2 linked regions of the Notamacropus eugenii genome follow. Each later gene encodes a partner of the first gene's protein in a complex. Links are inferred from orthologs where the notes say so. Each region holds a gene or a part of one and is shown in the gene's direction. Other genes may lie near its edges.

Region 1 (7,820 bases):
ACGATTGCAAAGAGCTTTACATATATCATATTATTTGACCCTCACAGCAACTAAGTTCTTTTAAAACTTACTTTTATACACATAGGTACCATAGATCCCTGTCCACCTGCCTCAAGGACCATAAGACCTCTCAGGGTGCTATGGGAAACATTTTATTTTTTCAAGACTCAAAAAGGATCCCTGTTTTCCCTTCCCTGATGGCTTAAGGTGGGTCAATCACGTTTTCTTCTTCTTTCCGCAAATGCATGAGTAGTGTGCTACCTTCTGTTGAGTTTGGGAGACTACCTGCTCCCTCCCCATTTGTCTTTCTATCTCATATCTTCTTCCAATATAACAGGAATGGGACATTCAGATTATCTCAGGGAAATTTTCTGAAAGATCTCTAAAAAGGGGGGAAAGAGACAAAGCTAGTGACTCTTCATACAGGTATTTGATCTAAGGGAAAAGATTGGCAGAGTGACTCCTAGCCATTCCAGTACTTAGGGCAACTGGAACAAAATATACCCTTCAATTAACTTTTAAAGACGAATTAAGTCTGTGGGGTGAGAGACTCCGAAAGAATACCACTCTCTCAGGGAAAGATAGAGACCCCAGAGCGCAGTTTCCTCTAGGTGGAGATTCTGAAACAATGTAAAACCACCTCTGGGGGAGATGATGTGTGCAAGGGAAGACATCTGGTAGCTTCCTATTTTAACTATTTATCCTTGCTAACTAGATGTTAAATTCAATTGCTTCTATTCTGCTAAAGGCAAGCAAGTGCTATCAATTCCTGCTTAATTTTAGCATTCTGAAACAAAGCTCCAATCACCTGACCCTAGTTATAGCTCTAGAGATTTGCAGCCCTTATTACAAAAGACCTTCAAATAAAGATGTCTGAACGCAAAGATAAATATTTGGCTGTGATTCTGGTTTTCATATCCCAAACTATAGATTTAGGAAAAGAATTCTCCTCCCTTCCAAAAAAACAAACACCAAATCTCTGAAAAACTATCACATTCTTTGCCTAGTAATGAGTAAAGATTCATTGTAGTATTCTTTTGGTCCATGCTCACACGCACAAAAATAAGTGTTGTGTTGATTGGAGAGGATAGAGATCTAGAAGCACTGGATTACAGAATTTTGAACTGGAAGAAGCCTTGGGGATCATGTCCTCCAACCTTCTCATTTAAGAGAGAAGAATGCAGGCTAAAAGGGACTGTATTACATAACCATCGAATGTCAGAACTGGAAGGGACCTCAGAAGCTACATAATCCAACTTAAATTTGAAAAACTGCACTGTATAACATATTTGTCATCAAGTCTTTGTTTGAAGACCTCAAGCAATGAAGAGCCCTCTACTTCTCATTGCAACCCATTCTAATTTTAGATAGCTTGCCCCAGATTCTGTCAGAGGCAGAATTCAAACTCAAGTCTTCTGACTAAATTCTGTGTTCTTTCCATTATACCAAGCTGCCTCTTTTAAATCCAGCCACGAGCTGGGAATATAAGGAAAGTCTCTCTTATCTCTCTGTTGGAAGCCCTAAACAAAACCTAGCATTTGTTTTCTTCCATTGATTAAGCTAAGTGCATAGAAAAAAAGGAATCCAATTTGTGTAGGCGGTAGTGGAGTATTCTCCGCTCTCAACTGCTGGCTTATTTCCCATATTACTAGAGTAAACATAAGAATTCATGTAAATTTATAAATTAGATTCCCATAGTTGTGCATGGTCTATGCAACATTTTTGACTAAATCAATGTACGTCATTAATAATTAAGTCCTTTTCCGAGGCCTTGTTATAACAATAGGACTGGTTCTTGAAGGTAGTGGTCAGAGAACCAAATATGATGCAGTCTAGGGGTTCTAGGAACCCCAAAATGCAAGAGTACAGGGCATGTCTGCCTCCAAAGAATATGACTAATCAAGCTTTCTTTCGAGTGAGACTAGTGAGGTTTTACTATGACACTAGTTGGGTGGCCAAGATTCTAAGAATCTGCTCAATGTAATGAGGAGTAAAATTGGAACTTTCATACAGAAAATCTGGATGGGATCAAGTAGTGGCAAATAGCCTGGGATGGGCAGGTGCAGACAATGAAAGGTTGGGCTGGGTCAGAACGCCACAAAGGAAGGACAGTTGAAAGGATTATACTGAGATGGATCAGGTGCCTCGGGGAAAGACCAGGGCTCAAATGTATGAGAAAGCTTAAGGACTGAAGATCTTTCCCCTTTTTTAGAGGTTCAGGTACCATACCCCACCAGTACCACACTCAACAAATACATAAAACCCCTAAAATCATTTGTTTTACCCAGTATTATTGCAATGGTAACAATAACTTGCTAATGATTTAGCCCTACCCACACTTCAGTCCCTCAACAGCAGGTTAAAAATTTGACCTTGCCTTTTCTCCTCTCTTTCTCAATCTCTTTCTTTCTCCAGTGGGGCCATCTCCAGCCCTCCTCATGAATATCAGGCCACTGGACCCAGATGGCTCAAGAGGAGAAAGTGAGGCTGGTGACCTTGCAGAGCCCTCCCTCACTCAAATCAAAGTCAGCTGCAAGTCATGATGTCATGGTCCTCTTTGAGAACAAAGGGCAAACCCAACAATCTCTAGTATCTTTCAGTTTTCTTTCTCCCTTCTTTCTTGTTTCGCTCTATTTCTTCTAAGAGAGTGACCCTTTAAGAGAATAACAGTTTATGTATTTGGAAGATGAGTCTGCTTTTGAGAAAAAGTAGTTCCTAAATTAATAGTTCACTTGTATAAGGCACAGATGTGCTCTGAGTTCTGAGAAAATTACTTTGAGAGTCCTGAAGCAGCAGTTTACTCATTTTGAATGTGACTAGCTATTAAGTACTGGAGCAGACAGAGAAAGTAAGCTTCAGTGATATATGTATATGAAAAATTGGATAACTGTTTAGGTTAATGACTAGGAAAATATGGATACCAAAATTGCTCTATGACAAAAGTAAATTTCCTAATTATATATAGATAAATATTTGATTACTAACCATAAGCTAAAAGACTCATAGAACGCAGATATATAAGAAAAGTAGACTTGAGAACAGCATCAGCAAAGTCTGAAACTGGAAGTGATGGATACTACAGCTGCACTTGAGGAGTAAGTTCAGCTGAGCTAGCCTGGGAGCTTCACCAAATCAGTGAAGTCATCCCATAACTTAATTCATTTTCTTAAGAACAGTATGAATCAACTTAGGAGTAGAAGCATTTAACCCGGAGGTTATTTTCATCAAGGAACTTTTATGATTGGTTCCTGTGACAAAAAGAGGGCACCAGTGTTTACGGTTCTAGAGTTGTGAGCCTTTCTTTGTGAGGATTTCCTCACTTGTTCTTCTGGCCCATTTTTCCCATTAGATATTGAGTGCCTTGGTGGGAGAGAGTAACTCAGGTTTATAGATGGATTTGGATGGACTTATGATTTCTGTATTTGCTTTACTGCGTTATCTATGAGGCTATCATTCTTTTTGTCTTATTGCTAAGTAAGTAGTTACATTTAAGACCAAATGTTAGTGGCTACTTATGTACACAGAAGCACACCAAAGGGGAGAATGAGGACTAAAGTCAGGAGTAGGGGGTTCTGTGAGAGTCCTGGTATTGACAGGGTGGTGGGACCTGGTATCCTAAAAGCAAAAGACTATGTCTTTGAAAGCAGCTTAGCCCCTGAATTTTCACATACATTTTAGCAGCCCAGATCACCGAAGTCCCACCCAGCCCAGCCCACTTAGATACCCGACCCATCTTTCACAGTCACTCTGGACTCATCCCAGACTACTTTATTCCTGTCACTATTGCACCTGGCCCACCCCAAGCTATTTGCCCCTCCTTAATCGCGTCCATATCTTTTCATTGTCCCTTTTTTTTTTTTTGTATATAAGCGTAAATCTCACCCCCATGAAAGTACAGATTCCCTAAGAATCTCCCCCACTCCTATTGGTGTTACAATAAACCTTGTCACCTGACTGGAAGAAGGTTTGAATGCATGAATTCTTTCCAGGCAGATACCACTCTGAACCTTGAAATGTCGGGATTCCCAGCAACCCCAAACCTTGTCCATGTAACCAACCAACATCTTCGTGGTTCTTCTCTGAGAACTTAGTGTAAAGGTTGCAGGGTGTCAGTCCAGAGACAGGAGAGAACAGACACCATTACAATGTGGGTGGGTGGGCACCCTATGCATGCATTCCATGCTTTTCGCTTTTTCTCCATTTTTTCTCCTTGGTTCCTTTTCCTTCTTTCTCCCCTCTATGTATTTACCCCTTCTTCTACCTTTTCATTCTTCAGTCTTTTTTCTCTATCCCCCTTTCTTTTATCTCCTCTTTCTGTATCCCCTCCTTCTCCCTCCTCTGACCTCTCCCTTGCTTCTCCCTCCTCCCCCCCTTGCTTCTCCCTCCTCCTCTCCCTCAACTGCCTTCTGGGCTAGGCATCTTAGGTGAGTGAGCGGATAAAACTTGAGACTGAATGCTGCCTTAACCCCGCCCCCCTCCCCCTGGCCCAGTAACTTCCAACTCTCGCACGGTTTTATTATCCCAAAGGACTCTAAATCCGTGATTATCCACACCCACAGCCTCTGCCCTCTGGGTCCTCTGAGCTGCACTTAGGTGTTTCACAGGCACTCTCCCCTACCTTAAACCCGCCCCTAGCTGGTCTTGGCCACGCCCTCGTCGCTCTGGCCACGCCCCTCAGGCCTTCGCCCCGCCCCTGGCCGCTCCACCACAGTTACAACAGCGGGGGGAGGAGCGGGAGTCAAGCTCTCCCGAAGAGCACTAGGTACACTCAGACCGCAGTATTTTGTCCCTGCGGGCTGACCGTAGCCCGGGAGCGCCGCGATTGGTCCGGCGGAGGCGCGCGCTCCCAGGCCGCTCCGGAGCGGGAGCGCGCGCGCTCTTGGCGGGAGGCGGAGGCGAGGCCGCGGCTGGCGTCGGCCGGAGGAGCTTAGAGGTGAGCTGCGGCGGGGCCGGGAGCGTGCTGGGCTTTGCCCGCGAGGTCTGAGGGACCCATGGGGCAGGGGGCGGCGGCGCCTTCCGGGGAGAACTCTCCGGGGTGACCCGAACGTTTCCGGGGGCCTCTCGGGGCCTCCCGGCTGGGCGCTCCTGGGTCCTCCGAGTCGGCGGACCCCTCCTCCCAAAGTCCAATGCACCCCCCGTGACCCCCGGCAGTCTGTGAAAAGCGACCCCGTGGGGCGGCCGGAGGCCTTGTCAGCCCCGGCGTGGGAAGGAAGGCCGCAGGCCGGCCCCGGAGCCGGAACGGGCGAGCTGGGAGCCGAGGCCCGGCCGGCCAGGCCGACGCGGTCCCGGGGGGCTCGGGTTCGGAGTCGAAAGCTGCTCCCCGGGGCTCCTGAGCTCGTTTTGGAAAAAAATGTCACTTTTGCTAACTGTGGCCGTTTTTAGGATTTCCTTCGAAATCGTAGACGTTTGACTTTCTGACGTCACGGTCATTCCGAGAAGGGACCCCACGAAGCTAAGCCCCCTTTGCCCCGCCCGTCTCCCTCCTGTCACGAAGCAGGGAACATGGTGGGCTCCTGAAGACACCCCCCCCCCCCCCCCGAGCCAGAGGCCCGGCTAGCGCCCGGATCCTCCTGGACAGGCCGCGTCCACCCGGGACAGGCCGCAGCGTGTTCCGTTTGGGATGAGAACCGTCCCTCGGGGACGCCCTTCCCTCCGCGTCAGTAGGTCCGGGGATCGGGTTAGAGTCGAACGGAGCCAGTGACCCCCACCCAGCCCTTGGGGAGGCCTAGGAGATGGGGGGCCGACGTGACTCGGGGCGGCCCCCCTCGGAGCTGCCCCCCAGGTGCCTGCTCCTCTCGTAGCTGCCCCCCCTGGGTGCCTGCCCCCCCGGTGCCGGCCCCGGCGCGGCTGTGCTGGAGCACGCTTTCGGCCCAGAAAGCTGCCCCCTTGGTCCCCGTGAGCTGCCCCGCCTCCGTCGGCGGGGTCCCGGCCGGCAGTTCTGGTTCCTTGATTCGAGCCCACTTCTTTAGGTGGGTAAGGGGTGTGGTCTGGCTTTTCTGTTCTGGTCCAATTCTGGAGGTGGTTTTGGGTCCTAGTTTCTATTGAAAGGCCTGGAGTTAAGTTTTTATTACGGATCTGTGGCCACTCCTTGTCTGGGGGAGCTTGGGGTTGGGCGTTTGTGAGGATCGCGCTTTGGGGGTGTTCTCCAGGGACTGTTTGGTGAGCTCCTCTGTTTGTCTGAACTGTTAGTTACAGAACCGTTAGGAGTCTTCCAAGTGCATCATCAGAAGCGAAGTGATTTCCCCACCCCCTGGGGAGACCCGGAGAGCGGAATGTGTGTGTACGATACAGGTGGTTGGCGTGCAGTCATTCTGCATGTGGGTTTGGACAGTGATCCTTAGTGACAAGAGAGAGTTTGTGGGGACCAGAAGGAGAATGGGAATAATAGCTAGCACTGTACCATCACTGAAGGTTTGTGAAGCACTTTTCCTAACATTGGAGAATGGCTCATATTACCAACACAGTGCATTAATACAACTCTAAATGCTCTTGGACGTCAGTGCGTTATACCTGTAACATATTTGTTACATTGTATATTATTAGTATTTTGACTCAGATCCAGCCCGCTTTCCTGTGTGTTTAGCCATCCAAAGGACCACAGATACAAAAAGTTTAATGAAACAGATATTGTTGACTGGAACTGAAAATCTAGAGAGACTGATTTGGTGTGGAATCCCTTTCAAGATTTAAATATTCCCTTGTCTGAAATTAGTACTTAACATAAAGATTTTTAAGATCTCTTTGGAAAATTACAACACTTGGATTTTGTTAGTAGTTAAAGTGCATTACTCAAACCTACATCACATTTGAGGTGAAGAAAAAGGAATAGTAGAATTCAGACCTAACCTTAACTAGTCAAACATTATAGGATGTGATAATATTTTTGATGATTGTAGTAGAGACTGCATTTTATGGTAGGAGAGTGGATAGAGAGCCATCCTCAGGAAAACTGGTATCCAAGTTTTGGTGTATCCCTGGCCAAGTCACTTAATTTCCTAGATTACTCATCAGCATTGGTAGAGAGGACGTTTCTCACAGGGAATTACTTGTCTATATCAAAGAAATTTCAAGTCACAAATTTTTTTTTTAAGTTGATTTTCATATAGATTTTCAAAGGTTTTACACATAGCATCTTATTTAGTCAGTCACCTTGTTAGGCCTTATTATTTCTACAAAATTTGGGGGGGTTGTTTTTTTTTAACCGGTTCTATGATTTCTTGGTAAAGGGAACCCAGAGTAAAGAGACTTCCTCAACCTTGCAGAACTGGCATGCTCTGTAGTTTTTTTTTGTCTGAGGACTCAGGTTAAGTGATTTGTCCAGTGTTACACAGCCACTACAGAAGGCTGGCAACAATCCTTATCTCCATGACTCTGAAGCCAACTCTCTATGCACTTACTCCATCATCCTGTCTCTGCAAATACTATTATTTCCATTTTGCAGCTAAGGAAACTGGGGCTAAAAGTGATTTTGTCACTTGGTCATGATCACAAAGCTATTATCAGAGGTAGAATTTGAACCCATCTGTTTTCGACTCCTAAATCTAGCACCTAGCTATCTTTTACACAAAGCTGAAAGGACCTTGGAGGACATCTGTTTCAGGACCCTCATTTCTTCCTCTCTTCATTCATTCACTTTTAGTTTTCAGTATTCACTTCCATAAGATTTTGAGTTCTAAATTTTCTCCCCCTCCCTCTCCTCTACCCCAAGACAGCATGCAGTCTGATATAGGCTATACATATACATTTCATATTAAACATTTTCACATTATTCATGTTGTAAGGAAGAGTTAGAACCAAAAGAAGAAACCATGAGAAAGAAG
Region 2 (7,803 bases), on another chromosome or scaffold:
GAAAACTGATAAACTCTGAATGCAGCAGATTGAAGCACACTTTTTTAAACTTTATTTTTCTTGGTTTTTCTTTTGCAACATGGCTAATATGGAAAAATGTTTTGCATGACTTCATATGTATAATCAATATCATATTACTTGCCTTCTTAATGAAAGAGGAAGGGAGGAAGGGAGAAAGAGAGTTTGAAACTTAAAATGTATTTTAAAATTTTACATGGAAAAATGTTAGCTAAAGCAATAAGATAAAAAACAAAGTCAAAAGAATTCAAGTTGGCAATAAGGAAATAAAACTATCTTTCTTTGCAGATGATATGATGGTATACTTAGAGAATCCTAGAAAATCTACAAAAAACTAGCTGAAACAATTAGCTTTAACAAAGTCGCATTAGATAAAATAAACCCAAGCAGGAAGTAAAATGGACAATTTTTATTCCATGAAATTGAAAATGTTTTGCACAAGCAAAATCAATGCAGCCAAATTTTGATGGAAAACAGGAAACTGGCAGGGGGGAAGGGGGTACAGAGAGGGAATTACGGTTTCTCTGATAAAGGAGTCATTTCTCAAAAATATAGGGAACTGAGACAAATTTATAAAATAAGAGTCATTCTCCAGTTGATACATGGACAAATTACATGAACAGACAGTTTTCAGAAGAAGAAATCAAAGTCATCGATACTCACATAAAAATTCTCTAAATCAGTATTGGTAAGAGAAATACACATTAAAACAACTTTGAGGTACCACCTCACACCTAACAGGATAGGACAGGAAAGGAAAGTAACAAATTCTGGAGGAGATGGGGGGCAGGGGCAGGAAGGGACACTAAAGCATGTTGGTAGAATTGTGACCTAACCTAATCATTCTGGAGAACAATTTAGAATTACCCCCAAAGGGCTATATAACACAGCATACTCTTTTAGCCAGCAATACCGCTACTAGGTATGGATTCCCGAAGAGATTAAATAAAGGGGAAAAGTTCTTGTGTATACAAACATTATTACAGGAACTCTTTCTGTGGTGGCAAAGAACTAGAAATTGAGGAAATGCATTGGGGAATGGCTTAACAAGTTATGATATATCATTTTGACGGAATATTATTGTGCTATAACAAAGGACAAGCACAATGCTTTCAGAGAAACCTGGGAAGACTTATAAGAACTCATATAAAGTGCGATGAGCAGAACCAGGAGAACTCTGTACATAGTAACAGCAATAGTGTAACAATGATCAGCTATGAAAAACTTTTCTACTGGGATCAAGACAGTGATCCAAGACAATTCCGAAGAGTCATAATGAAAAATGCTATTTACTACTAGAGAGAGAACTGATGAACACTGAGTACAGATTGAAGTATACTTTTTTAAAGTTAATTTATTTTAGTTTTCAACATCCACTTCCATAAGTTTTAAATTTACTCCCCTCCTCCCTTCCCCCATCCACAAGACAGCATGCAATCTGATACAGGCTCTATGCATATATTCCTATTAAAAACATTTTCACATAAGTCATGTTATATAGAAGAATTAGAACAAATGGGAGGAACCATGAGAATGAAAAAAACAAAACAAAGCAAGAAAATAGCCTGCTTCACTCTGCATTCAGACTTCATATTTCTTTCTCTGGATGTAGATGGCATTTTCCATCATAATTGCTGCAAAATTACAAAGGACAAGCATGGTCCAAAAGAAAGGATATGAGAAAACACTCTTAGCCCACCTCTTTGGAGTGGTGGCTAGTCCATGAGTGTGGTACCTGGAACATATTTTCACAATTTGTCAACGTATTGATCAGTTTTGATGATTTCTCTTTTTTCCATCTCATAAAAATGACATTTGTTATATGGGATGGCTCTCTGGAAGACAGAAGGAGACATTGGGGAAATTTTCGTGATGTAAATAAACATCAATAAAAATTTACTTTAAAAAAGAAGAAGGTAATCTATAAGAAAGACATGCCCTAAGTATAATTGTTCATAAAGTAATTATTCTTGTGGTTATATAAAGAAGTGTGCCTGCAGAAAACATCATCTGCATGGATATCTGAGGATTATCTGTTAAGAAGAGACCCAGATGTTTTAGAACAAAATCCTGGGGCACAATCAAGAGTTGGAGGGGAGTGAGACATAGACGACAATCCAGTAAAGAAGTAATCAGATAGGAAAGAGAACCTAGGGAGATTATCATAAAAATGGGGAAAAGAGATTTTGGAACAGCTTCTGTGGGGAGTGTCAGAGAGAATCAATTAATGATGAGTAAAAAGATTGTATTGCTGTAGGTGAGGGCCCAGTTGAGATCAGATAATTTATATCTGCATTGAACTCGGTCTACATAGTTGAATGACTTTCTCCAGCAGCAGATGAAAAGAAGCAAAGGAGGGAGATGGTGGGAATAATCAAGGGCTGAGGTTTAGCAAGACAGAGGCAACAACAGGATAAAAGGATAAGAGATTCAAGAATAGAGGACAGTAGAGGACAAAGTAGGAAGAGAGAAAAATGAAACCACAGTGCCCTGGAAAACTAGGTGGGAATGAAAGGACTGGAGATCATGGTGAAAACAAAAAATGGGATTAGGAAGATCATAGAGTCTGGAGTTGATCAAGACATCTTAGAGGCCACCTAGTCTCAACCACCTCATTTTGCAGATAAAGAACTATGGACCAGAGAAGTAAAGTAATTTGCCCCAATTTTACACAGATAAAAGTAGCTGAAATGAGCTTGGACCATATCATTCATGTTCCATACTTATTTAAATGCCTTTCTTCTCTATAATGCAGAAGTACAGAATTTGAAAATTTGAAGGAACTTCAGCAGCCATCTAGTGCAATCCATACCTGAAAGAAATCCCATTATAAAATATTGAACAAGTATTTTAAAGACCTCTAAGAAAAGAGAATATTTCCTTATATCAAGTTTAAGTCTGACTGCAACTTTTTAAATTGTGTTAACCATAAGGGAGCATAGTATGCCAGTCTGACCAGGGCAGAGTGGGGAAGAACTACCATTTCCTCATCCCTGGAAGTTATTCCTTTGATGCAGCCCAAAAGCATTTTTTCCTTTTTCTGGCTGCAACCACACTATGGTGACACTGACTCAAATTTCCAGATCTTTTTCAGTCAGACAACCTGCTCTTTAACCATACTTCACCTGCCTTGTACTTGAACTTGTAATCTCTATTGGGGAAGAACTTTTATTTTTCTTTATCCCCTTCAGTTCCTTCTGAACCTTACTGTGCTTTACACAAAGCTGGTTCTCAATAAGTACATGGAGAAAGAATGCTAACTAATAATATACTGTCTCTGGGAAGCCAGCTCTCATAACTGGGTTACATGGCATTGTAGCAAAGGCAGCTAGAGGGCATAAAATACAACCAGACTCTAATTCTGGGTCTCCACTAGTTTACTTTGTAGTTCTGGTCAAGTTTGCTTTACTCTGTCCATTCTTTCAACTGTAAAAGGGGCAAGCTGCATAGAAAAAATGAAGAAAATTAGGAGGTAGGTTATGGAAGAGGGTGCTGGATTCCAAAGTCAGCTGAACCCTTGTCTTTGCCATTTTACTGTCTGTAACGCTGGGCAAATCACTTGACCTCAATTTCTCATCATCTCTAAAACTGAAGGGCTGGACCCAGATTTCTTCTAATATCCCAGTTCTAATCTACTAATCATTGTTTTTGAACGTATGTTGCAAGTATCAGTTACCACCCACATGGTGAAGTAGATGGAGCGCCAAGGACGGAGTCAAGAAGACTCATGTGAGTTCAAATCCAGCCTCAGATAACGAGTTATGCAACCCTGGTTACCTTAGTTCGTTTTCTGTAAATGAGCTGGAGAAAGAAATGGCAAATCACTGCAGTGCCTGTGCCAAGAAAACCCCAAATGGGGCCAGGAAGAGGCGACCATACGGCAATGTCTTTCCCCCTCCAGTAAGACAGTACACTGACTGTAACGCATTAGAATCTGAGGAAGATTGTGCCCGTTTGGTGACACTTTGCATTTCTGCTGCGGGGCGGGGGGAGGACCACAGTCCCTGCAACTCAAGCGTCACATCTGTGCGGTGATGGAGACGGAAAGGGAGGCGGGAGGAAAATCTGCGGTCAGATAAAGCCTGAGACACTGACGGTGCGAGCTGCCCGGGGTCGCGCGGGTAGAGATGGGCACAGGAGCGCCCACCTCCCTGGGCCGCCTGCCCGGGGTCGCGCGGGCAGAGATGGGCACAGGAGCGCCCACCTCCCTGGGCCGCCTGCCCGGGGTCGCGCGGGCAGAGATGGGCACAGGAGCGCCCACCTCCCTGGGCCGCCTGCCCGGGGTCGCGCGGGCAGAGATGGGCACAGGAGCGCCCACCTCCCTGGGCCGCCTGCCCGGGGTCGCGCGGGCAGAGATGGGCCTAGGAGCGCCCACCTCCCTGGGCCGCCTGCCCGGGGTCGCGCGGGCAGAGATGGGCCTAGGAGCGCCCACCTCCCTGGGCCGCCTGCCCGGGGTCGCGCGGGCAGAGATGGGCACAGGAACGCCCACCTCCCTGGGCTGCCAGGGCGAGATGAGATGCAGATGCCATTTGTAAAGTGCTTTGCAAAGCTTAAAGCGTTAGCTTATTAAATTCCTATACCCTTCATGCTTTCTGTGAATAAACCTCTATGCCTTTCATACTTGTAATGCGATGAAAATCTCACTGCTGTTTTCTTTCCTTCCAACTAACTTTTCCTCAAAGCTCCCCCCGTCTCCATTTATTTCGGCTCTCTTCGTTTTACTCCGCCCTCTCCCGCTCCACGTGATCCCCAGGGAACCGAGGCATCCTGGGAGGACACGCAAAGGACGCCTGCGCACGAATCGCTCTCTGCTCCTTGGAGAGGCAAAGGAAGGGAGAAGGCGGGGCGGGTGCCGCGGTAGCCTTTACTCTCGCGATCCTTGCTTCCTTGCCGACGGAAAGCGTCCGGGTGTTTGCAGTTCTTCCGGGCCGTGTTCCTTTTTCCCTTCTCTGTTCTTCTCGGCGCTTGGCGCAGACTCCGGAGCGCGCGGCCCGACCATCATGACGTCGGCTTTGGAAAACTACATCAACCGTATCCTTGAGCTGCCGCCGGGGCGGCGGCTTTGCGCCCCCTCTTCGCGTTCCCCCGCCATGGTTGTGCGGGGCATCCGGAGCGGCGCAGTGTTTTCTGGCCTAGGGAGCGGAGCGGGCCTTGGCGCGGCCGGCCGGGAAGGGGAGGAGCGAGAGATCCTGGCCCGCCTGCTGGGACTCGGGAATCCTGCGCGGGCGAAGCTGTGCTCGCCTTCGGGGCCCGTGCGGCCCGACCCTCTTCGGGGCAGATCTTAATTGTGGTTCTTTACTTCTTAGCAGCCCCCCGCTCCCTCGCCCCCCCAAAAAGGAACAACTTTTCATGGGCCGAGCGGCCATCTCCCTCCTCCCGCCAGCCCCCTCCGTGGCCTTGGCAGCAGCGAGCCGAGCTAGATGCGAATGTTTGGGTGCGGGCCTGGGTACCTCTGGCAGAAAGAAGAAGGAGATCACGTCTAAATTAAAACCAGAAAAAGCCCATTCAAGGTTTCAATCTTTCATTCTTATTGCCTGGTGGGTGCCAGAGTAGAGCATATGGCTTGTGCTTGGGAATCTGCATTTACTGGTAACTTCTGTGGGCTTTCATCGCTAGTTGTAGAGGGAGTTAGGTGAGGAAAGTTGTTTGTAAGGTGGCACAGGGCCAAAAGTTGGAAAAAATACCCTGTAAGAGTAGTTAAACTTTGTAGCTGTTTTAGGGCAGAACACTCGAATCACATAATTGAAAGAGTGATTTTTTTTCCCCAAAGAAAAGCCAAAGGTATGATTGAAATTCTTGTAAGCACTGTTGTTTTCTGGTTTGGTTTGTTGGGTTTTTTTTCTAATGGTATGTTTTTATAGAGTTTTCAGACCTTCAGATCCACCTTTTATATAGGAAATTTGGCATATCTGTGTTCACCCGCTGTGACAGTAATATTTCAGATTTTCTGTCAAATTCAGGTTTTTTTTATCAGGGCTTAAGATTACAGCATTTGGACTTTCCTAAAGAAATACTTCCTTAATCCTGTTTTATCAGGTACTGTGGCTGTAATTACATCTGATGGCAGAATGATTGTGGTAAGTGTTCAGTTCTACACTATTCTGTCATCCCAGAGTGTTTTATTTGTTCAATACCTGTGTCACCATGAGATGGTGTGATATTTTTACATTTACTGCATCAGCTGAGCATTATGGATACAGTGTTGGTCTTGGTATTAGAAAGACCCAGATCCAAACCCTTCTCCCTGACTCTTTTATCTGTTGGACCATAGACAAGTGGCTCTCCAAACCTCAGTTTTCTTATGTGTAAAAGGAGATAATGTATATAAAAGGCTTTCTAAACCTTTAAGTCCTATATTAATGTCAGCTGTTAGACTTTTCTCATAGACTGTTTAACTTATACAACACTTGCCTTCAGCATTCCTCTCACTCTATTCTTAACCTTCTGCAATCTGACTTCCAACCTTATCCAAGTGAAATTGCCCTCTCCAAAATAGCATTTAGGCATGTTCTTTGTGTTCAAAGGAGCTCCAAGTTTATTGAGAATTACAGACTTGACAAATAAATTTCAATACCAGGCTTCTCTTGTGAAATATTTTTTTTTATTTTGCTTACTGACTTTGTTTATTAAATTTTTCCTATATTACTATGTGGATGAAGTAATATAATTTTTTTATGAAAGCCCAAGATAAAAATATTTCTTTGTTAATTTTAGCAAAATTAAAGGAAAAGTATATTTTCTGGAAAATTTTACACACAAAGAACACATAAAACAGCTTAAGCCCATCTTTGGAAATATAGTTCATGTTACTTGCTACATTCAAACATGCCTAAATGCTATTTTAAAAAAGTTATACATGTCCCAATAGGCTCTTTTTTTGTTTGTGATAAGCTAGTCAATAGGTGAATTGGTTGCTAGTTAGTTTTTATTTTTTAAAGCATGATTTCTGCAAACCCTAGATTTAGTTTTCTTCTTTTGGCATTGCTTTAAAACTGAATATACAGAAAATTAATAATAAATTGAAACATTTAACAAGAGCCACGTAAATTTAAATTTCCTCAGAAATTCTGCCAACTCTTTTTTGCTCTTATTTTTTTTGTTTTATTTTTTTTTGCTCTTATTTTAAAATTAAGTTTATTCCATGAAACCTTCTCATCAGGCTCCACTTATTTTATAAAACACAGTACATTTTTCCTTTGAGAAATTATAATTAATCCAGTCCTTTTTTAAAAAGCTTACTATATCATATTTTTATTTGGGTTCATTAGGTTACCTTTAGAATATAAATTCCTTATATTCAGGGACTTTTATCTTTATATCCCTAGCTACTCCACATCATCTTGCACAGAATGAATATTTATCAAACTTAATGGAATATTAGCTCTTGAAAGGTGCAGTGACTGTGTATTGTCCTTCTGTACACTCACAGTAACCAACACAAAAAATATTTTATATATTTTTATATAGCTCTTACATCAGAGCTTTCTGTAGACAGTTGGTACTCATGTATTTTTTTTTCCTTAATAAAGAGTTTTATAACCTGAAATAATGGCAGTTATAGAGGATTTTTTTGTTTTTATTTTTTAGTGTTAGAAAGACTTTTTAATGTGTCTTATTTGCATTTGAGGGACTAGTTTTCTAGAATTACTGTATATTATATACTGAACTTACAAATTGAGATGACTTAAAAACATTTCATTATTCTTTTCGCAGGGAACACTGAAAGGTTTTGATCAGACCATCAATTTGATTTTGGATGAAAGTCATGAACGGGTGTTTAGCTCT

The links.
Region 2: LSM6 (region 1) and LSM8 share a complex: the UniProt entries of both Homo sapiens proteins name them as parts of the precatalytic spliceosome. The link is inferred for Notamacropus eugenii from reciprocal best matches to the Homo sapiens genes LSM6 and LSM8.

What each region holds. Positions count from the first base shown.
Region 1 is NC_092877.1:143,185,273-143,193,092, forward strand, and holds the start of LSM6 (U6 snRNA-associated Sm-like protein LSm6), read left to right. Parts: upstream 1-4,809; 5' UTR 4,810-4,933; intron 4,934-5,739; exon of another isoform or gene 5,740-5,969; intron 5,970-7,820. UniProt on the Homo sapiens protein: Plays a role in pre-mRNA splicing as component of the U4/U6-U5 tri-snRNP complex that is involved in spliceosome assembly, and as component of the precatalytic spliceosome (spliceosome B complex).
Region 2 is NC_092874.1:134,579,146-134,586,948, reverse strand, and holds the start of LSM8 (LSM8 homolog, U6 small nuclear RNA associated), read left to right. Parts: upstream 1-4,784; 5' UTR 4,785-5,018; coding exon 5,019-5,049; exon of another isoform or gene 5,050-5,528; intron 5,529-6,054; coding exon 6,055-6,095; intron 6,096-7,731; coding exon 7,732-7,803. UniProt on the Homo sapiens protein: Plays a role in pre-mRNA splicing as component of the U4/U6-U5 tri-snRNP complex that is involved in spliceosome assembly, and as component of the precatalytic spliceosome (spliceosome B complex).